4 linked regions of the Arabidopsis thaliana genome follow. The protein of the gene in region 2 interacts with the protein of the main gene of each other region in a pairwise test. Each region holds a gene or a part of one and is shown on either strand. Other genes may lie near its edges.

Evidence for each region.
Region 1: the proteins of AT5G63930 (region 2) and MLO2 interact in a protein complementation assay, tested with the Arabidopsis thaliana proteins (one large-scale study listed by BioGRID).
Region 3: the proteins of AT5G63930 (region 2) and AT3G61750 interact in a protein complementation assay, tested with the Arabidopsis thaliana proteins (one large-scale study listed by BioGRID).
Region 4: the proteins of AT5G63930 (region 2) and AT4G27610 interact in a protein complementation assay, tested with the Arabidopsis thaliana proteins (one large-scale study listed by BioGRID).

The regions. Positions count from the first base shown.
Region 1 is NC_003070.9:3,799,972-3,805,890, forward strand, and holds MLO2 (Seven transmembrane MLO family protein), read right to left. Parts: upstream 4,263-5,919; 5' UTR 3,900-4,262; coding exon 3,777-3,899; intron 3,725-3,776; exon of another isoform or gene 3,589-3,724; coding exon 3,531-3,588; intron 3,416-3,530; coding exon 3,150-3,415; intron 3,057-3,149; coding exon 2,940-3,056; intron 2,847-2,939; coding exon 2,786-2,846; intron 2,716-2,785; coding exon 2,552-2,715; intron 2,469-2,551; coding exon 2,374-2,468; intron 2,288-2,373; coding exon 2,238-2,287; intron 2,152-2,237; coding exon 2,111-2,151; intron 2,032-2,110; coding exon 1,858-2,031; intron 1,768-1,857; coding exon 1,732-1,767; intron 1,647-1,731; coding exon 1,579-1,646; coding exon of another isoform or gene 1,575-1,578; exon of another isoform or gene 1,490-1,574; coding exon 1,429-1,489; intron 1,336-1,428; coding exon 928-1,335; 3' UTR 749-927; downstream 1-748. Other genes in the region: AT1G11303 (G-type lectin S-receptor-like Serine/Threonine-kinase), read left to right, coding at 1-146, 231-360, 440-748.
Region 2 is NC_003076.8:25,579,917-25,587,139, reverse strand, and holds AT5G63930 (Leucine-rich repeat protein kinase family protein), read right to left. Parts: upstream 5,445-7,223; 5' UTR 4,135-5,444; coding exon 1,203-4,134; intron 1,125-1,202; coding exon 748-1,124; 3' UTR 520-747; downstream 1-519. Other genes in the region: TOP3A (topoisomerase 3alpha), read right to left, coding at 5,910-6,171, 6,273-6,393, 6,550-6,717, 6,881-6,952, 7,096-7,167.
Region 3 is NC_003074.8:22,857,073-22,861,635, forward strand, and holds AT3G61750 (Cytochrome b561/ferric reductase transmembrane with DOMON related domain-containing protein), read right to left. Parts: upstream 2,598-4,563; 5' UTR 2,183-2,597; coding exon 1,976-2,182; exon of another isoform or gene 1,899-1,975; coding exon 1,499-1,898; intron 1,415-1,498; coding exon 825-1,414; 3' UTR 505-824; downstream 1-504. Other genes in the region: DL1B (DYNAMIN-like 1B), read right to left, coding at 3,474-3,602, 3,702-4,070, 4,165-4,441, 4,522-4,563. UniProt on the Arabidopsis thaliana protein: May act as a catecholamine-responsive trans-membrane electron transporter.
Region 4 is NC_003075.7:13,784,899-13,790,480, forward strand, and holds AT4G27610 (intracellular protein transporter), read right to left. Parts: upstream 3,618-5,582; 5' UTR 3,186-3,617; exon of another isoform or gene 2,476-3,185; 5' UTR 2,435-2,475; coding exon 2,251-2,434; intron 2,164-2,250; coding exon 2,059-2,163; intron 1,466-2,058; coding exon 750-1,465; 3' UTR 515-749; downstream 1-514. Other genes in the region: NARA5 (pfkB-like carbohydrate kinase family protein), read right to left, coding at 1-107; AT4G27620 (intracellular protein transporter), read right to left, coding at 4,161-4,849, 5,246-5,347, 5,432-5,582.

The sequences.
Region 1 (5,919 bases), on a different chromosome or scaffold from region 2:
AGGCTGAGAATCATTCACAGAGATCTGAAAGCAAGCAACATCTTGCTAGATGAGAATCTGATTCCGAAAATATCTGATTTTGGGTTGGCCAGGATATTCCCGGGGAATGAAGATGAAGCAAACACCAGAAGGGTCGTTGGAACATAGTATGTAACTCCATTCAACCATATGTTTACATCTTTTTTTTCCATTAAGAGTCCTAAAACCGAGAAAATAAATGTATCGTGCAGTGGCTATATGGCACCTGAATATGCAATGGGAGGACTGTTTTCAGAGAAATCTGATGTTTTCAGCTTAGGAGTGATACTCTTAGAGATTATCAGTGGAAGAAGAAACTCACATTCAACTCTTTTGGCTCATGTGAGTCTACTTTAACTCGTAAAGTTTCTTAACTCTCTTGAGATTGTCATCAAGCCATCAAAGCTTCTATGTTTCATAGGTGTGGTCAATCTGGAACGAAGGGGAGATTAATGGTATGGTAGATCCTGAGATTTTTGACCAACTTTTTGAGAAAGAAATACGAAAATGCGTTCACATTGCGCTTTTGTGTGTGCAAGACGCTGCTAATGATAGGCCAAGTGTTTCTACAGTGTGTATGATGCTTAGCAGTGAGGTTGCAGACATTCCAGAACCGAAACAGCCTGCTTTTATGCCTAGAAACGTTGGTTTAGAAGCTGAGTTCTCTGAGAGCATTGCTCTTAAAGCCTCTATCAACAATGTCACCATCACTGATGTCTCAGGACGTTAAAACCTGCAGAAATACAAATGTATGTGTAATTCGTGAAACTCTTAAGCATTGCCAGAGAATAACATATCATGTATCCATATAGATATGGTTATTTCTTATCCAACTAGTAATGTACAAGAAATTATTTTCATATGACAAATTTCCCACTGTACGAAATCAAATATAGCAAACAAGAATCATCATTTCTTAAAAGAAAAATCTCTTAAGCTTTTGCTAGTCCTTATAGGAGGAAGTTCCACAGATGCAAGAACAGGTTCTGAGCTTTCATGCGCAAGAGAATGATGTGTGGAAGTTTCAGCTTCTTGGTGTTGAGACTCAGGATCCCAAAATTGGTGTTCATGATGACCATGACCAGAGTATCTAGGAGAAGGAGAACTTGGGTAATTTTCAACGCTCCGGTTATTGAAATTGTGAAGGAGATGGATTGGAGATGAGCCATGTGTTGGTGTGGTTGGACGGCTAGAGAAAGGTGTGTTGGATCCCGAGTGTCTTCCGTGTTTCGTCTCGTTCTTTGCAGTGTGATGCCACTTCTTTAATGCCGTGGCTACTCTATCGTTGAATACTGTTGGCTTCATTTTACTACCCATCTGCACACAATTTTCATTCAACACAATGTAAAAAAAACTAAAGATCATATAACCAAAATCTGGCATCCATGTAACACTAATGTTTTCTAGTACCTGAGTAACAAGTGCATAGAGTGGAAGAGTCACATAGCTGCAAAGTATCTGCACAACAGCTCTGCAAGATTTATAAAAAGGGGGATTATACTTTTTCAGTTAAAGGACAAATTCTCAGAAGAATCAATAGTCAAGATAATGTTAGCTTACCCAACTACAAGTCTAATGACCACATCTGCAGTGCTTTCATGGAAACAATTATTGAGATTGAATTCATACTGCAAATACAGAAAATTTATGACATAACAATTAGTATAGCCCGTAACAGCGATGTTTTCAAAGAAAATGAAATGGCTCGCTTACCGTACTCCAGGCAAAGAATGCAAGTTGAAATGCATTCTGCAAAGATAAGAAAATTTATTCTACCGTTAGGAGAAAAAACCCGAAAAAGATCGAAAAAACGAGCGGTGAAGGATACAAGTATTGTACCGTAAAAAGGACCAAGTGAATAAGGAAAAGAATGAAGCGTGGCTTGCCAAACCAGAAGAGGTCATCACCAGGCTGAACCACTGGGGCGCCTCTCACCACATCACCTTTCTCTTGGATTCTTAGACCCAATTTTGTTATTATGACTTCAAGCTTTGTTCCAACTATTAGAATTACCTGCAGTTATATATTTTCACTCTGTTACAAAACTGGCGGCAAAAAGACAAAATCGGTTCAAGAGTTTGTTTGTACTTACGACTAGTGGAATGAATGGTAACCAGAGGTAAGAACGTAATCCTGTTTCAAAAGAAAACCGATGTCACTTTTGTGCGACTATTGATGCAGCTAAAATGTAGTTTTTGCGAGTAAGCAATGAACGTTACCATATGAATTGGTCAAGAGGAATAGCACAGCGACAAACCAGATAACCGGACTGCATAAAGTTGGCAGAGATTTAAGATAAAATATCCAAATTGGCTTTGCTCAGACTTTATAAAGCAATCATTATTAGATCCAAACCTGATTTCAACAACGGTTTTGAAGTCTTTCTCTAATGATCTCTGAATATACTTGCGGAAATCGAATCTTGATTCGTTACCGGGAGCAAAATGCGCCTGAAATATGTAGAATGTTAGATCATTGTCTTTGAGAGATACATGTTATAATGAACAATAGATAAAAAGAATAAATTCCATACCATGATGAAACCATGTCTTAGTGCTAAGTAATCAACTTTGGTGACAGATCCAAAGAACTGTCTAAAAAAACAAACAATCCATAGTGTGACTCTCGTCTTGCTCCAGAAATTGAGATGTCTTCTCCCAAAAGATGTGTCCCTCGCAAACCTGAACCTCTCAGGATCTGCATAACAAGACTAATTCATTCCCATTCAGGTCTTTAAGTTTCGTCGAATACTCACATATTTACATACCGTTGGAATACTGATACTCTATTGTCTTTGTCTCTTCCTCCCACGACTTCCACGTCCTCATCTGCAATACTCAAGAAAACAAGTATAAAAATCTTTTGCATACACTCTTTTTCTCGCCTTAACAACTGCGTAAGTCACAAGAAATGTTAGTTACCTTGATCTTTCCGAAAGCATAAGTAACAATGCAGTAAACAACATGAACAACCGCGAGCACGAAGATGAATATATGCAGCTGGTGGATTCCATAAGCAGATACAAAAGCCACTTTCCCCTGAGTAAATCCATCAATAGAAATCAAAATTCCATCGGTTTAACAAGCAGAGAATGATTTTTATATAGAGAGAGAAGGGAGATTATTAGTTACCTTCTCTGCACATTTGTCATAGCCTTTGGTGGCTAAACTTCTTCTATGGATATAAGATTCAGCTAACTCAAGAAGAAGTCTTCGACCGGGTTTATCTCCATCTCCATCATCTTTCTTTCCGGCGTCTTTCTTGCCGTATTTTTTAGCTTCTTCAGCAGCACTGCAAGGGTGCATTGTTGACGCAACTTTCTGGGAGATGCAGATATTTGAGATTGGTGTTTGTCCAATTGTGAGTAGTAGTGATATGAATCCCAACAGCATAAGCTCTGAATGAAGTTACGTAGAAAACAAAATCAGGAGCTTGTTAATGGATGAAGTTAAGTAGAAAAAGATAAGAAGCTTGTTGATAATGGATCAAGTTAAGTAGAAAAAGATAGTTACCTGCTTTGACCTTTTCAAGAGCTTCAAAAAGAGCCTGCTTGTGCTTCTTTTTAAACCACTGTTTAAGGCACAAAAAAAGGAATGATCAGATATTTTCGTTATTCTCACAGATTTAGTAGTGTTGATAGTGATAGGAGAAGAACTAAACAAATCCAAAAAAACAGAGCAGTAATTAAAGAAACAGAGCAGAAAGCAGAGCAAGAAACAGGGGAATCTTGAAATAAGGAGAAATATAAAGAGACTTACGGTTCCAATTTTGTGAATAGAATGTTCGAGGACAATCGAAATAAAGAGTAAGACAAAGCAAACAACAGCAACTGCCCACGTAGAGGTCTCCTCTAAAGTCCGCTCTTTTACTTGATCTGCCATTAGAGCTTAATCCTAAGAAAAAACCCCAAATAAGATTCTTCTAATTCCAGACCAGAGATCTTGTCTTTTTATATATAAATATAGAAACACACGAAGAGAAAGAGAGACACAGTCAGAGTTTCGTGTTCTTCTTTTGATCTAACTTCTCTCTATATTGAATTAGTACGCTACGCAATTTTGAATCTGGTCATAATATAGAGCAGACGAAAGAGGGAAGAAGAAGAAGAAGATAAGACCCGCAACGAGAGACTGTAAACTAAAGAAGGCGTTATTCGAGAAAGCTTCAACGTTTTGACTTTTCTTGTTGTTCCTCTCATGTGACGAGTGACGACGACTCCTCAATTATCAGCATAACCATTATTCTTTTTGGTCTACTTTATTTTGCTTTTTATTGGGTCAATCATCGGTGTTTTGTTTCTATTTTAAATCTATAACATTTTGGTTTCAGCTCGTTAGATTTTCAGAATAAAATAAAGCAAATTTTGAATTTTTTGATTCATTAGTCGTTTATTTTTGTTGGTATAATACTCCCATTTTGTGTACTTTGGAAGCCACTAGAGATTGTATAAGTATAAATAAGAATAACATTACTATAATGGGATCTTTCGTTGGAAAGTTCGTCATTTTGTTTTGTCTATTCCCAACTTGTTTGTTATATCTAAATAATATGCTCGTAGATACCAAGATTCAAGATATAACCATGCTCCTTTTTTTAATTTAAATTTTTACCAAAATGTAAATTTTCTATATATAAAAAAAGATATATTAATTGCTACTTGAAATTTATACAAGAAATTTCACCCATAATTGCTACTTGAAATTTGAAAATGATATTTTCCACCACCACCAATGACTGATTAAAAAATAAACTGATTTCTAACACACCTTACCACCCAAAACCTAATAAAAACTTTAAACTGTACCTCTATTTCTAACACACCCAATTAAAAGTGACTGATAAGTTGTCAAAACATTATTTTGAAAGATACATTGATGATGTGATTGTTTTTTTCTACAAAAATTTCAGTTTCGAAGTTTACCCATTAACGTGTTTTTTTTTTTTTGTTTTTTTTTTCTTGTTAATATCCTATATTTTATTAAATTTTCTTACTATCAACTGTACAAAAGTTTTATCATCCATTATACTATCTATAATGGAATTGTAATTTTATTACACTTAGATGTAACTAGAATTGTAAATATATTATTGTAGCAAACATTTGACTATTAAATTAATTACGTAACCTGGTTTTTATTTTGCCTTTTAATGAAATTATAAAAATTGTATAGTTTGAAAAATATGATACTATGACTATTTCTTATATCTTAAAATATTATTGTCAGATAAAAGAGTTTGGGATTTTTTGATAAGTTGTACTCTACAAAATATTCGAAAACAGCCTGTACAGTTGAACAGAGGCATGCAGCAATGATTAATAATTAATAGTTAGATAATTAGAATGTTAAGTGGAAAATTGTTGTATTTAGCTGACTTTCCAGTTTCCAATAGCCATCGCCCATCGAATGTTTATTTAATCAACATTCTTTAAAATAATGAGAGTGTTTTGCTTACTTGGCACGTGATTAAAGACTACTGACAGAAAAAAACAAGATTAAACATCTAACAGAAATAACATCTTTAAACTATGATTGCAAGTAGATATATATATATATATATATATATATATATATCAGAATAGTTGAAGAAATTACTGAAGAATCAATCAATATACACAAACAAAATTATAGTTTTTCTCCTTCGACAATATACGTTTAGAATTTAAACTAAACGAGATCCATATATACATTTTTTTTAATTTATATTTACTTTGATTGCATATGAGATTGATTGTACATGTACATATATGTTTATGATTATTAGTTAAAACTGATCGTGCATGTACATATATAAACTATGGAGAGTGGATTATAAGATTGTAAAAACTCAAATCTTTCTCTATAATATTTAACACGTGTTCATATTTATGACTGACACAATTGGACACAACTTAAGTTCAAA
Region 2 (7,223 bases):
ATTCATATCCTATCCTTTATTTTGAATTTTCAGTTTGAAGAAAAGGAAAAAAAGACCTTTCAAACTTTCATGGCGTACGAATAAGTCTTAGTATGACTCGAATCTTTTCGTTTGATTTAAAATCATATCCCTAGAGAAGTGAAGACTAAGAGGACTAATTATTTAACAAAATTAATATTGAGAAAAACAGATCCACATTAACTCACTACCACATAGCTAAAATTAAAAACTAGAAGAGATTAGATATATAATCTGGTGGGCACGATTCAGAATAGCACGTGAAATATTATATTTATAACAAATCCAGCTAACCGTGATCTACGCTAATTATGATTTCCAGAGCAAAAGTGACCGTATTATTATTGGTGTCTTCATTAAATTAACAATAATTTATAGACCTAATCACTATGAAAAATCAAGTTGATTATAACATGGATACTTCCATAGTATTAAATTATGATCTATTAAATGATCCAATGACCAAAAACAATATCCAATGTTAGAGAGTACTACTATTTACCTGTTCATACTAAAAAGACAACGGTAATTACCGTTTGGGTCCCATGGATAATGATTGGATTAACACTAATTAATTAAACCTAACGGTAACTTGTAGATATAGATACTGCTTATATCTTTTGATATAGCTGCGTGCGTATAGACTTTACAATAATTATTCGCCATGGTTACATAGAAGAATAATCTCGTGTGAAAAAAGAAGAAGATACAACAAGAATGTGTATTGTGTCATGGGGTAGTTGTTTGTGTCAATTCTTCTGTATCCAAATGTTCTTGTTCTCCTTCCGATCTCTCAGACTCAATAAGCATGAGAACAACTTGTCGCATCGATGGCCTCGCGACTGGAGACACACTTGTGCAAAGAAGTGCAATCTTTAACACAGTGAGCATATGAGAGACAATTCTCTCGTCTTCTAGCGTTAACCGAGCATCAAGAACTCCTGAGGACAATGCATCTCTTCTTATGTAACTCCTCACCCAATTCACCACATCTCCTCCTTGATCTATTGGCTGAACCGGGGCTTTTCCGGTTAGCAGCTCCAGTAGAACCACCCCGTAGCTATAGATGTCAGACTTCTCTGTCACTTTCATGGTGTATGCATATTCTGCAAAGTTGTTAAAACAGTTTAATTTCAGTTCCCTCATTGGATACTTAATTGCACAAACAAAAGCAAAAACTTTACCTGGGGCAATGTAGCCATAGGAGCCAGCAATAGCAGACATGGATTTAGAATGTGGCATGTCAATCACTTTTGCTAGTCCAAAATCTCCCACATGAGCTTCAAACTTGTCGTCAAGCAGTATATTGTTTGATTTTATGTCCCGGTGGAAGATTCTCGGCTTGCAATCATGGTGCAAATAGGCGAGACCCTGAGCCGCACCTAAAGCGATTTTAAATCTCTTAGACCAATCCAAGTTGCATGAAGGATCATGAAGTATTTCTCCAAGGCTTCCCTTGGGCATGTACTCATACAGAAGCAGATTTGATCCTTGGTGATTGCAGAATCCATGTAGCTTGACGATGTTACGGTGCCTGATATTCCCAAGAGTTAGAATCTCTGCTCTAAAGCTATTATCCACATTGTTGTTGTTGCCGCCTTCATGGTTTGATGCCAGCTTCTTGACAGCTAGAGTGTACCCGGCTGGAAGAACCGCTTTGTAGACGGTTCCACAAGCTCCTCTCCCAACTACAAAGCTCTCGTCGAAATTATCAGTGGCTGCAACTAAATCTTGGAACGTGAATCCTTCCTTTGGAGGGAAGTATATGTCCAAAGACATTTCCGATGGTTGGCCATCTTGAGCAGAAGAAGCGACTGTTCTCACTGGGCGTCTCATGAGGTAGACAATGAGAGCAATCAGCATGAGAGAGACCCCGCCAATCACAGCTGCAGTAATGGCTATGATTTTACTCGAACGCATTCCTCCGGGCTTCCCGGTTGACTGAGAAGGCGCGAAAGGCTGTGTTTGGATACACTGGTTGAGCGGCGGGCCGCAAAGCCCTTCATTACCGATGAAGCTAGACATGGATATGTTACGGAGAAGTGGAATAGGACCAGTTAAGCTGTTGTATGAGAAGTTGTAACCAAGCAAGCTGGAGAGATTAGCAAAAGAGCTTGGTATTTCCCCAGACAAATTGTTGTTGTTGAGGAGCAGGAACTCAAGCATAACAAGATTACTGAGCTCAGGTGGTATTTCTCCGGTAAGCTTGTTATAACTGAGGTTCAATGCTATTTGCAAACCCGTCAGACTGCCCAACTCCCGTGGAATGCTACCGTTGAACAAGTTTCCACCCATTTGTAGTTCGGTCAAGCGAGATAAGTTCCCTAGAGCCACAGGTATTGTACCCGAAAGATTATTGTTTGAGAGCTTCAGAAGCTCAAGCTGGTAGAGGGAACCTACCTCACTTGGTAAGGTTCCAGAGAAATTGTTGCAACACATGTCTAGTCGCTGAAGCATCTTGCAGTTGAAGATTTCAGAAGGGACCTCTCCAGTAAGCTTATTGGATGAGATATTCAAGGTCCCAAGCTGTGAAAGCATGCCAATCTCTCTAGGTAGCTCCCCCGTGAAGCCATTGTCTGCTAGCTGCAGCCTTTGTAGGGCACTGCAGTTCCCGACCTCCCTAGGGATGGAACCACGGAATCTGTTCTGTCCCAACTCGATGGCTGTGACATTAACCTGTTTACACAGGTTGGATGGGAACCGACCAACGAGGTTGTTTCTGGCTAGACGAAGTTGGACCAGAGTTTTGCAAGTGGTGATTCCAGTAGGAATGTTGCCAGAGAGGTTGTTTGTACCCAAGTTCAAGATGATCATATTGGAGTGAAGGCAGAGGTAGCTTGGAATTCTTCCACTGAGATGGTTATCGGACATATCAAGAACCCAGAGATCGCTATACCAGCCAAGTTTTGGAGGTATGGTCCCGCTAAGGGAGTTCTGAAACAGCTGCAGCATGAAGAGTCCTCTTAGATACTGAAATCCCAGGGGAATAGGACCCGTTAAAGCATTGATGGAGAGATCAAGCTTTGATAGATTCTTCAAAGTAGAAAGCTCCACAGGGATGGTACCTGTGAGTTGGTTCTCAAAAAGATAAAGAAGCTCAAGCCCCTCTATGTTCCCTAACTCCAAAGGTATCTCTCCGGTCAAAGCGTTTTCCGAGAAATCTATCTCAATTGCATATGAGAGATTCCCAATCTCTCTTGGAATCGTTCCATTCAACCCGTTTCTGTAAAGGTAGAGAAACTCCAGCGACTGAAGGTCCCCGAGCTCTTTCGGGATTGGCCCGACAAGCTGGTTCTTGTAGAGAGCAAGGGTTTCTAAACTTGTGCAGTTGCTAATCTCCCTGGGGATAAACCCTGAGAACTCATTTTCCCAAAGAATCACCTGTGAAAGTTTCTTGAGCATTCCAATCTCTTTTGGTAATTCACCACTCAACTGGTTCTGTGCAAGACCAAGCATGACCAAGCTCTCACATCCACCAATCTCAGAAGGCAAACTTCCAGAGATCATGTTCTGACCGGCTCGGAAGCTTGTCAGTCTCTTGAGGTTGCCGATGGAACGGGGCAATTGTCCACTGATGTTGTTACTGTAAGTCACCAGTTGAGAGAGAGACAAAAGGTTCCCAATCTCCACAGGGAGAGACCCTGAGATTCTGTTGTTGTATATGATCAGATTCTCCAAAGACACAAGCTTACCTATTTCCACAGGTATCTCACCATCAAACTGGTTATTGTTTAGTTTCAGAATCTCCAAGCTTGAACAGTTGCCAATTTCCTTAGGAATTTTCCCTGACAACCCATTATATGACAGATCCAGCTGCTTCAGATGAACCAATCCACCTATGCTTGGTGATAGCTTACCCGAGAGAACCATCGAAGACAGATTCAAGGACAAAACCTCTGGATCACTCGAATAGTTGCTGCACATCACGCCAGTCCATCCACAAGGTACAGAATCATTTGAATTCCAGTTTCTCAAATTCTGCTTAGCATCCACAAACTTGCTCTTGATTTCAAGAAGATATTGACCTTCTAAGTTCAACCCTGTTGTCTCAGAGATCAGAAGGATAAGAAGAAGAGATATGAAAAAAACAGCAAGCTTCATCATTTCCTTTACCATTCATGCATACACAGAAGCCCTTAAATCTTCATTAGAAGACATCAAACAAGATGTAATCATGTCTGCAAAAACCTCACTTTGTACATCTCTTAAAGACTACATACCATAAAACCATCCAAAAAAACTCAAATCATGTAGCATAACAAGCATATTTGAAAGAAGAATACAGGCCCTACTAAACTATGGATCTGGATCCAAGACACATAGCTATGAAAATTCTAGGCAAGAAAACAACCTTTGAAACTGGTTTCAGGAAAGGAAAAAGAGAGAATAGAAGAGGTGCAGACCTTTTTTTCTTCTTTCCAGGAAAACAATATAAAAAGGAAATGGTCAAGCTATGATTAGTTTTTTGATCATTGAAAGCTTTGAAGTTTGAAATTTGTTCATTAAAAAAGTCTTCTATTAGTACTGGCCTGTCTTTTAATATTAGTTTCAGAAGCCTATCAGCTTTGCTTTTGTTTATTTCAAGTAAAAAAGAAACTCAATATTCGTTTTGTCTTTGAAGCAACAAATAAAGTAAGCCATGAATTAGTCAAAGTGAGAACTACAAGGCTTAAAAATGATGGTCCTTTTTGTAACTTTGAAGCTATAATAGACTCTAAGTACTCAAATCAACAAGATAGAGATGGCCGACATGGCATGAGAACTTGGCTTTCCTCATTCTCTCACGACCTCAATTTCGTGCATTATTATTCTATTGTAAAGTATCAATTATACTCCAAGCAAAACAGTTGTTTTAATCTTCTATATACAGACGACAACCAAGATAACAACTGGAGAAGGGACAACAAGCTCGACTATAAGTTATAGTCCAAGGACAAATGCTTCGAGAAGCTTGTCAATTTTGAGACCAAACTTCAGTCTTGTAATGAGACTACTAAGAAGAGGCAATGATAAGTACCCACTTGATCATTCACAGCAAGATACCTAATTGACTGTTCAATATACCGAACCAAGCTATACAAATTCCAAGATTAGTATGAAAAGTACCTCAAGTGGCTACAACAACTCCTTCGATGAGGAATGTAAGAAGAAACGCGTTCTTGTTCCACAGGAGACGGCCTAATCAGTAATCACCTCTCTCTCTCTTTTTTTCCCTTTCATAGTTGCCGAAGAAAATGACCCGAATCCTACGCCGGAGAAGCTCGCCGGATCCTCTGTTATCTCAATTTCGATTTGAGAATTTTAAATCTTTTATGTTCAAAATGGACTGAAAATTGGTGTGCCGTTTTTAAACAACAAAACGGCGTTTATTCCGGTTGTTGTGTCGTTTTCTTACAGAGCAAAACGACTGTGGTTTGTGTTATTAACAGTTGTTAATATCTATTACTTGACCATCTCTAAAAACAAATTCGGAGGACTAAACTTTGTAGCTTAAGCATTTTGTTAATATCTATTACTTGACCATGTCTAGACTCAAGATCAATGGCATATACATAGTGATATAGTTGATGTATGAATTATGAATTATGAGACAATACAAAAAAAATGATGAAATATGGATCCACATTAGCTCACTAAGAACATAACTAAAAATTAAAAACGACTATTCAAGATTTATAAATAAAATAGGTGGAAACTATTCAGTGATTCAGAATAGCACGTGAAATATTATATTTAAAATATCCAGCTAACAGTGATCTACGCAAATTAGGATGAATTCCAGAGAAAAAGTGGTCATAAAATAAAATAAAATAAAATACAAAAACCCAAATTAAGTTAGTAGCACTAATTAATCATGCTACATACATAGTCAAAGTTCGTAGTAAGTAGACTTAGAAATAGTTACCGTTAGAGTTATTACGATTAGGACAAGCGTTAGCAAAATGTGAAGGATCGCCACATGAGAAGCACCTTATACCACTCACTGGCTCTCCAGTTGCAGAGACAAAGCTTGTTCCAGAGCCGCGTCGTCCTCCACTGCTTTGGCCGCCTCTACCTCCACGGCCACGACCACGGCTGCCACGTCTACCGCTCCCGCCGCTATTAGACCCTGTTGTTGCATTCCCACTACTGTTGTTTATGCTATCTTCCCATCTGTTTACAAGCAGTGCAAACAAAAAACTGATGTGTTGAGTGATGTAAAAGGAAAAAAAAATGGATTATGCGAAGAAATTGGGGTAAAACCAGACTCTTACGCAAAGAAACTGCAGCCTTGTGTTGGACATGAGAAGAATTGTCTTCCCCTGTTAGCTTCTGTGTTGGCTGTACGAAGAACACATTGTGATCCACAAGTGTTACATGATACTGTACTTTCATCTGCATTATAACCAACAATACTAGAATATAAATTACATGTCAATAAGGAAGACTTGGTCTGGACAATTTGCTTGAATTTTGACTAGTATATAGTACATACTAGCAAAAGCTAATCGATGATCTTTGTTTGCTAAACTATTATACAAGGATCAGTACCGTTTCTCGGATTTGTTGCAGTAGGACGAGAATTTCGAGATGCTGGAACCCGTGAGGGACAATTCGTGGAAGCATGTCCTCGTTGCTGACAATGTATGCAGACATTACTCTGTCTTGTGTTGCTTCCTTGGATATTGTTTGACGGTGCAGTACCTGGAGTTCTCCTTGCTGCAAGAACAAATCATTGATTCTTTTTAGCCTAAATGTTCTCTATTCGCAAGACACTATACTAAAGTTCTTGCATTCTCATTTAGGACAGAAGATGATGAAAGAAAGATTGTATGATGTCTAATACAAAGGTATATGTATTGCGTAACAACAAAGCACTAACCTTGAGAACGGGATCCAGTTCCACAGATGTCTATCAACTGTTTAAGAATGTCATCACAGCCACCCACGCAACCTGATCACAACATTACCATAGGACATATTAGAAGAAGTCACGATGAAATTGGCACGGTGGCTGTGATGACATTAAAATCAAAGCCTGGTAAAAAAATCAAAGCCTGGTAAACAAGAAAACAAATTGGCTGCAATTTTTTTTACCTAAGTGATTAACATCAAAGCCTGGTGGAATTCCAATTTGACGGAACTTGAAAAGTATCTTGTAGACCGGGCCTACAGAAAGAGAAAGGCACCATTTAATAATAAAGACAGAAAGACACATGTACACG
Region 3 (4,563 bases), on a different chromosome or scaffold from region 2:
CGAAAATAAAAAAAACGAATATGCTGACGTGGCGGTTGAATGGAACAGTGTTTGGCTCCAGGGATTGGGGACGAGGGAAGACTGCGAATTTTCAGGCGTACGAGAGCGCCAAGTCGAAATCTTCCTTTTCATCAAATCTGACGTGGCGCATCAATAAATAACTCTCTCGTTTTTCTTCTTGTCACACAACTTATTTAGAAAAATCGAAGCTTGTTGGGCTACATATTGGGCCTACGATGTTTCTCGTGGAACATTTTGACAATTAATAAAAGAAACAACTTCGAGTTAGGCCCAATATGAACACTGTATGTTTCTCATGCAACAACATTTTGACATTACCAGACAATGGAGGAAGATGATCCTTTTTTCATTTCAAATAAGACTCAAAACTTATCATCCAATTATACGTTCATGATTTATATGAAAGATGAGAGATTGCATTTGCATACAAAAGGACCATATTTTTGTTAATCGCTCCATAATGTTAGCCTTAGGGTCTAGGGACGTCTATGCACATTTACAAACTCATAAGGAATTAAAGAATTACGTATATTTCACTTTCCAGGAACAACAACCTTCAAAACTCAACTTACATGACAACAAATTGAGATCCAAAAAGAAACAAACCTTAAAAAAACAAATATCACCATGTTGCTCTAAAGTCTAAACCAAGACCGATTTCCACTTGAAAATCATATTGCCGAACCAAAAAAAAAAAAAAAAAATTACAACACATATGGACTATAAAATCAGTGACCAATGATTATGGGGAAAACAAAAAAAGTACCTTTATGTACAAGAAAAAAAAAACAGAAGATCTTGAATCAAACACTAGTACTAGAACTTGGATGTGTCTCAAAAGAGGGAGGGCTGCGAGAAGATGGTGAGCCGATAGTGCCACGAATCCTGAATATTTCAAGAACAACAAAAGCAAGTAACGTGACTGACAGAACAAATCCATATCCAATTTTCCATCCATCTCCTCCATTATCCGCCATTCGAATTCCAAGAACAATGTTCACTGCTCCAAAAAAGAGAGAGATCCTCCCAATCCAATGATGATACCAATTCCAATATCTCCTCATCTTTGTCTCCTTCTGTGGCCGTGCAAAGAAAGCCAAAACCTGAAGAGTGCTAAGGACTAGAAGAAAGATCCCAATGCCTCGATGCGCAGGTATATCCGGCTGGATCCTATTGTAAAGCTGAATCCCAAGAATAACTGCGGCTAAACCGAAGATAAAGCCCGTGAACTGAAAACCGATATGAAGATAGTACCAAAGAGGGTCTTTATGTCTTAGATATCTTGCTAGGATTGCCCCTACAGGAAGTAAGAAACCCCATCCGAGTATCGCCATTACTCCATGTTTTGTCTTCTCCGTAGAAGTTGTCGTCTTTATGGAGGTTGCTCCACTAGCTGCATTGACCAAGAACATACAACTATTGAACTCTCCCCTGTTTTTAACATGTATAGATTAGACTAGTATATACATTATATTACCTTTGGAAAAATCGACGATGACTGTAGTTTTATCATCATGCTTAGTCAAACGGCCTAGCTTGGAAGGATAAGCAGTGCTAAACGCTAGAATGACAGCTCTCCGAGGAACTCTAACGGCGAATTTCACCTGGAAAGCTAAGTAAATCATTGCTCCGTGAAGAGCCACCACCGGCGGGACTTTTTGTAGTTGCAATTCTCCTTGATCCGGCACAACTTGGTCTCTCTCCGTTCCTTGGAGATAGTATTGTTTGATTTTGGCGTGACCCTTTTTCGAAATCCATCCGATCATCGCGCTTGATCCAACCATTCTTCCTTCTTTCGAGAATCCAATCCCAACCCACCCGGTTGTGTATAAAGCCGATACTATAATCGTCATCACATTGTCTCTGTTTTCTGAGTACTGCAAAACAGAGCAAGCAGCGTTGAAAATCAAAATTATGGGTTTTAGGAAAAGTTGGTTTATGTTTTTCGGTTTACCCGTAAGACGAACGTGTTCCAAAGAGGAGTACAGGGCATGTTATCGGAGATATTGCTGTACGGTGGAGGGAGGAAATCGGATAATCGGTTTGCAAAACAGAGATTCTGGGTCGAATCGTTTATGACATTGACGTCATCTGCAGCTAAGAAAGGCAGATCTTGTCCGATTAAGAAACAGAGGATGTAAAATCCGACCAAAGTTTTCATGGTTGGAATCGAAACAGAGACGAGAAGGAGCGAGGAACAATGGAAGCTTTTTGGGTGATGGTTACTTGAAGAAGAAGAAGAGTGATTGAGTTTGGTGGTGAAAGTGGTTGGAGATGGAGATCAATCATAATCATCAAATTGTTTTAAATCAGCTCCGGTTGGATTTTGAGAAAGATACTTGGAGTTGATGTTTCACTGGTTAAGTATCGGACAATTTATGTCCCCTCTGTCACTAAATCGACACGTGAACCGACAGAAAAATACCAAGATGCTATGAAATTATTGCTTTTTCTTTGCCAGTTAAAACAATTGGCAATTGCTATTTGAGGTTGAGAAATTACGAATAGATTTTTAAGATATGGACAATCTGGAGTTTTTTACTTTGCTTATTTAGGGAAAAAAAGAAGAAGAAGACAGAGATGGGAGCGAGAGAGTGGGGTCGTAAACTGGACCATAGTGGGAAGTGGATCAGTCTTAGTCTGAATCATTACTCATTAGGTATATTTGGTCAGGATAGTGCCACGATCAACATCATCTTTTCTTTTCTTGGAGGAGATATTGGAAGGGAACTTGGAAACAAAGTAAACAATAATAAATTAACCAATGAGTACAGCTTTACAGCTTCCATGAGTACCAATCACACAAACAAACAATTTCATTTGTTCGTTGTAAAACACAAACTCAAATGAGAAAAAAGGTATTGTGTTGCAATTGCAAAATGGTAATGTAAAACAATTTAAACAGTATTACTATTACGCATGGCGGGATCGGTATCAGTCAACGACTAAGCGTTTTATGTAATCGATATCATAATTCAAAATTATTCAACTTTAACATAATAAAAGGGATTAACATAATAAGTTAGCCAATATGGGGATGTAGCTCATATGGTAGAGCGCTCGCTTCGCATGCGAGAGGCACGGGGTTCGATTCCCCGCATCTCCAATTTTGTTGATTTTTTTAATTTTAGTTTGCTCTTCTTCTTCTGTTTGCTCTTCTTCTTCTGTTTGCTTGCTCCTTTTGTTCTCTCTTTCCGGTGGTTTAAAACAGAGAGGAGATCACGTCATATGTTTCTTCAGTCCATGAAATCTATTTATTTTTTGAAAAATAATTTGGTCAACCATATTCTACTGCGCCAACCATCGTCTTACAAAAACTTTTATTCAGAAACAATGATAACTCGAACACCGAATACAATGACAAATGGAAAAAAAAAAGAGACAAAAAAATGTAGAAGGAAACGTATCCTAAAGAAACAAAAAATGGAGTGTGAAGAGAGGGTCTCGTCTCTCTACTTGGACCAAGCAACTGCTTCAATATCCGTTTGAGCACTTCTATACAATTCCAGCCTCTTCGCAATCGAAGTCCTTCGCTGCTGAACCGCAGGATCCTCATCCAACAATTTCGACAATTTGCTCATCTATAATTTTTAACACCAAACCATTTTAACATTCTTACTCGTATCTTATACAATTGTCAATTTGCTCATATAGGTTTTTTAGTATATCTTTATTGTTACCTCTTTCTGGCCAAGTTCGGTGAAGAAGATGTCTAGAAGGCTTCGTTTTGCTTCACGGACTTGACAGTAAACAATGGATTTCGGTATGGAGTTTCTCAAGCCAGCGCAGACCATGTTCACATATGACAACACATTTGAGCCGATTCTTCGGAGATAAGCATCGTTGTATCTGTCGAATATCGAATGTGTCGGATTCCCACCTTTTTCAGAATCTTGCGGGAGTTTCCTGAAGAACTCGACCGTTAAGTAACCAGACTCCATGTCCACTAGTAACAGAGTTGCTTTCCTGCTTTCGTCTCTCATTCGATCCAATGAATCCACGGCTGCACCTGATACTTCTACTCTGAGTGTTGGATATTGCTTCAGTTCCTGTAGTCATGATGAAAACACATAATCATGCTTCAAAACTCATAAGTGTTATTGTTGTTGTTGGGTTTATGACTTTGAGCAGAGATATTCTTACAGATGTTTCGCCCATGGATTTGTGGATAAGATCCTTGAGAATGGAATGAACCGCATCAACAGCTGCTTCAGCAGGGCCTCTAATGGAGACTAAGCATGATTCTATGAGCCGGCGATAACCTTGTTCAGGAGCTATGAGATGAGGTTGATATCCATCTGCTTCAGTGATCAGTTTCCGTACATTGTCCATGGAGAGATGTTTGTCGAATTGCAGTCTTTTAATGGCAGCTGGGAATTGATTGTCGAACACAGAATTTATCTTTTCACCACCTGAACGCCTGTAAGGTTGTTAGTGGTTATCAATTATAAAGCTAGAAAATTGAATTAGCAACAATCCAGAAACATGCGGATGACTTACGTGCCATCCAGGTGTTCTTTAAAAGTTTGATCAAAGGCACGG
Region 4 (5,582 bases), on a different chromosome or scaffold from region 2:
AGACGGGAGAGAGAGGAGGAGGAAGCATTATTAGAAGCGGTAATGGCGGAGAGAGTGAAAAAAAGAGAGGCAGAGGTAGGAATTGGAGAGAGGAGGGAGAACGCCATGGAATTAGATAGTTTTGCTCTTTGAATGAAGAAAGCTCACATCTCCATTCAAAAGCGAGAGGAGCAAGGAAGACCAGCAAAACCCGAGAGACGGCCTCTGAGAGGATAAAGTATGACTTTGACTTTATATGTTTATTTATATAAATCTTATTAGGATAAAACTCTATTTCTTATTTATATTCAAACCCAAAATTTCAGAATAAGCATAATTGCTAACAATTTTATTTTAACTGTATCTTAAAAATAATAATGTATGTTGCGTCTATTTATAAATTTAAAATTTGTTTATACTATTTATCATTTGTGTTAAAATTGGCTAATTCTTCTAGTGAACACATCCTTATACGTGGCGTTTGTAATTATCGGGTTAGTTACCAATTACGGAGAATAAAAAAAAAAAAAAAGTAGAGAGCTATTCCCGCGGTAAATTCTTCAACAACTATCTATTTACCTTTACACCAAATGTTGAAAGAAAAAACAGAATCAAGACATTCAAAAACGAAAGCAGAAAGCCAGAAAGAACCTGAAAATCTTGATCTCCACCGTTCTTAGTACATACTAAGATTCATTTTCTCGAAAAAGGAAAAAGAACCGAAAAAAAAAATAAGAGACGCAAGTATGCACAATGCCTAACCTTTCCACCTACAATAAGTTTTGGAGCTGTGAGTCCAGTCTCTGCTGCAACTCTTTTACCTTCTGCGAAAGCTCAATCTTCTGCTCCTTATAGCTTCTAAGTAGATACTCTTTCCCATCTATCACTTCTTTAAGCTCACTCACTTCCTTTCTCAACATCTCTACTCTTTCTCCATCCCTTAGGCTCTTTTCTTGTGACTCATAATTGCTTTCGCTGTCCATAAACCCGCCATTCCAAGGTCCAACCGGAGATGTCTTGCCATTGCTGTCCGCGCCACATCCCACGCTGTGATCAGCAATTGCCTTTCTCAGTCTTTGAACTTCTCTTTCTGATTCAAACAGATCTCTGTTCAGTGTGTCTAGCTGTGCCTGGAGATGGCTTGAGTGTGCCGTCTGTGCGTTATACGAGTTTTGCAGCTCTAGAATCTGTTCTTGCATTTCCTGTATCATGTCATCCCGTCTCTTCAGCTGCTGCCTTAGTTTCTGTATTACTTCTCGTTTGCTGAAAATGTCTGAGCTGGTTTCAGATACGCAAGGAGAATCTGAGCAGTTTGAATTGTGATTGTATGGTCTTGGGGGAAGTTCCAGGCGATCAGGAGAAGTTGCCCACATGACTCCATTCTCTTTGCTCGATGGAGCAGGAACTGTCACAAGAGGCAGTGAAGTGTCAGATGCGGATATCATTTGCTCGCTTGTCACCTCTTTTCCTTCCACACTCTCAGTTCCTATAAAAATAAAGAAGCAAAGGCTGATAAGATCCATACACGACTGTTTGCTCTGGACTACATGAATATTAGGATTCAGAGATTTTCCAAAGAGAAAACATAACTCAGGTCTGGATCTAATAGTACAAAACTTGTAACTATGCTTAACGAGGTCTTGGTAGATAACAAAACTAGTAACTGTTTTTAGCATTCAGCCACTAGACACAGCCATCAATGGAGAAAACCTGCTTCCCTAGTTGCCAGCCCAATTGATGCAAATTAATGGTAATATGCCACAACGAAACAAGAGATATTCGATTCAACCAGTTATTGCAAGGTGGCAAATCTTGTAACTATTTTACTCATTCCATAACTTCGAATTGGATTCCCCTAGTTGACAAATACATCATGAGGTAAGATAACAGAGGCTAGAACTCTATAACAACATCTACACATTCTCCCAACTAGATTTTACTATATATCACACATCGTTTTAACTTCATGAAAGGAAACCCAGTAAGACATGATGCGAGACCAAGAAACAAGCATATAGCGTTTGTTTAGTAGATTGAACAAATATGTATGAGGCAAAACAGAAAGTTACAAAGTCACACCTGGAATGGAGCGGAAGCAACAAAAATCATTATTTTGTGTACAGGAAGATGTGGTAGAGTGTAAGCAACAGCTTGTAGATTTTTGCCTCTCAGATGTTCCATTAGCTGCACAAGAGGCTTTCATTTAGTGATAGAAAAAAACTAGAACCAAATTATAAAACATGTTAAGCAACACAGCGATAAAGTAAGTACGTTTTAATCCAGCAGAGCCATTTGATTGAGGTTTCGAATCAAGCGACTGCTTTAGCTTGTATCCAAAGCGAATGGACAATGTGCTCAACAATGCACCCCCTGCAATTAGTATCCAGTTTGGCCCTTCACCACAAAATTTATCACCTCGCTGATGCTTGGAAATGCCATTTCTTCGTGTACTCATTGTATGAGAAAGTCAAAATGTATCTATCATCCAAACATAACCTACATTGAACGGATACAAGAATCAATCATCATCAACGATCAGAATGAATTGGGCATATGTCAACAAGAAACCTGGTGTCAACTCAATAAAATCAACAAATATACAATTTTAAAATCATCAAATGCTTAATACCCAGAAAGATTCCAGAAACTAGAATATGAAAAGATAATGAGCACAAAGAATCACGTTTTGAGCATTACCTCAAACACAGTCAACCAGAGAAGGAAAAACAAAAAAAAGATCTAAAATGATAGTAACACTGAAAAGAGAAAGACAAAAAAAAAAATGGAAGATTCTCTAAGTCAAACATTCTCAGTTGAGAAAGTATACGACGAATCCATGGAATCATATAGGAGCACAGACTCTACCTCAAAAAAAGCAAATGCAAGAAAAATGGAGTTCCCTGAAAGAGTAATCGAAACGTTGATGCCATGGGATTTAGATTCTAAAACTACAAAAGCAAGAAGAAGAGATAGATACTTGCCTTGAACATGAAGCGAAATGAAAATAATAACAACCCTTATTTTTTTCGATAGGGGCCGTTAATCGATATCCCAACAACCCTTAATGAACACAACAATCGCAATCAGAAGGAGAATAAGGAATTACATAAATCCGAGCTCGAAAATAGATTTTCCGACGAATCAAAAATCAGTGAGCGAGCGAAGCACCCAAAAACAGGGAGAGTATAAAGGACTCTTTAAAAAACCTCATAGACAGCAGAAAATGGGCATTAGGGCTCCATAGTTTCCCTCCCGAGCCAGAAAATTTCTCCCGCTTGAGTTTCAATGTTTGATGGGTGGTCCTTGCAGCTTCGAGAATCGAAAAAAATCGCTGAGAGAGAAATACGATTCCGTGAAGAATCGCAGAGTCTCCGACGATGATATGACTGTAAAACCCCCGGGGAGGAGAGAGAGAAGCAAAGTGGAGGGGAAGAGGTTGAAGAGAGACGGCGCCTCACAGTTACAGCTCCGTTGTTGTTTTTTCCTTCCACTGTTAATTCATTTATTAAAATAAAATCACGCACGCGTCAACCACGTCCCATGGATGACGCTCACGGTGGTTAACAAACTCAGCTCATATGTTTTTTTCTTCTTTCTTTTCTTCTTTACGATTTCAATTTTTTAGTAATGAAATTTAATAGATAATTTGAGTATGAATGAACATTTGACATCTTTATCCATGTGTAAATGTTTGCACTTTCTGTTGATTATTTTTTTTTTTCTATTTTAAGTCACTACCAGCTAATGTGATGATACATTTTTCTTTTGTCTTCTTCACTATGTGACAACTACAAAATTAAATATTTGGTCCTTCCTTCTCTAACGATTTTCTTCCTTATGAATATCAAAACCTGACTGAAATAAGTGCCAAATTAAATTTTAGCAACCCTTCTTTCTCTTTCCTTAAGAACAAGTAACCAACTTTCTTGTAAAAAACTTCAACTGCAATTCTACAATTTAAGCCTTGAGACACGATATTGTATGAGTTTGCAACTTTCGAATATCCACTTCACCAAGAGAAAAAAACAATTTGGATAAAATCATAATTGACACCCAAAACAATGTAGTCAGTTGATAAGTTTCCCCGGAGAAATTGAGATATTTTTGAACAAAGATTCATATTTTTTACTCGGGGAAACAAAAGAGAGTGGTAAGAATGCACAATGCCTAACCTTCTTCACCTACAAAATGTTTGGGAGCTGCGAGTCCAGTCTCTGCTGCAACTCTTTTACCTTCTGCAAAAGCTCTGTTTTCTGCTCCTTATAGCTCCTAAGTAGATACTCTTTCCCATCTATCACTTCTTTAAGCTCACCCACTTCTTTTCTCAACATCTCTATTCTTTCTCCATCCCTTATTCCATTTTCTGGTGACTCGTAGTTGTTTTCGCTGTTCACATCGCCACTCCAACCATTGCTACCTGTGTGTCCCACGCAGTGATCAGCGATTGCCTTTCTCAGTCTCTGGACTTCTCTTTCTGATTCAAACAGGTCCCTGTTTGTTGCGTCTAGCTGTGTTTGGATATGGCTAGAGTGTCCCATCTGGGCGTTTAGCGAGTTTTGCAGCTCTAGAATCTGTTCCTGCATTTCAACTATCATGTCGTCACGTCTCTTCAGCTGTTGCCTCAGTTTCTGTATTACTTCTCGCTTGCTGAAGATGTCTGAGCCGGATTCAGATACGCAAGGAGAATCTGAGCAGGTCGAATGTTGATGGTATGCTTTCATCGGCACTTCCAGGTGGTCAGGAGAAGATCCCCATACGACTGCACTCTCTTTGCTATATGATGAAGCAGGAACTGTCACAAGAGGCAGAGAAGTACTGGACTCTGCCATTTGCTCATTTGTAGCATGATTTCCTTCCCCATTCTCAGTTCCTGCATAAATGAAAATAAGAAGCCAACTCTCAGAACACCCACACAAAACTTTTCTGCCATAACACAAGCCATCATTGGGGGATAATACTACAGCCTTCATAGTTTCCAGCTCATTAACGTAAGTAGCTACTTAAGTATGAATCCTGATTGGGGTACAAAGACATCTTTAGTCAAATATTGTTCCTGATTGGGTTACAAAGATCATTATGCAAGATACTAGAGGCTACAAATATGTAAGAACCATCTCCATATTCTTTCAACTATTTGACAACATCTCCCAAAATCTCTTTTCACTTCAAAGATACCACAAAATCAAACCCCAGTAAGAGACTATGTGAAGTGAAGTTATGTATAAGCAAATTCAGTAGTAAGAATAACAAACTCACAAACTCTCACCGGGAGTGCAGTGAAAGCAACAATCATTATTCCTTTCACAGGGTGATGCATTAGAATGCAAGCAGCAGCCCTTAAATCTTCCTCTGTCGGTTGTTCCATTAGCTGCACAACAAAACAACCTACCAATAAGATAGAGAATACAAGCGAATTCTAGGACATGTAAGCACTAAACAACCAGATAAGTACGTTTTAATCCACCAGTGGCATTGGAATGAGGAGGTTTGGAGTCAATAGACTGCTTTAATTTGTAGCCAAAACGAATGGACAATGTACTCAACAAAGCACCCCCAGCAATTAAGATCCAATTTGGTCCTTCACCGCGAAAACTCTCAAACCG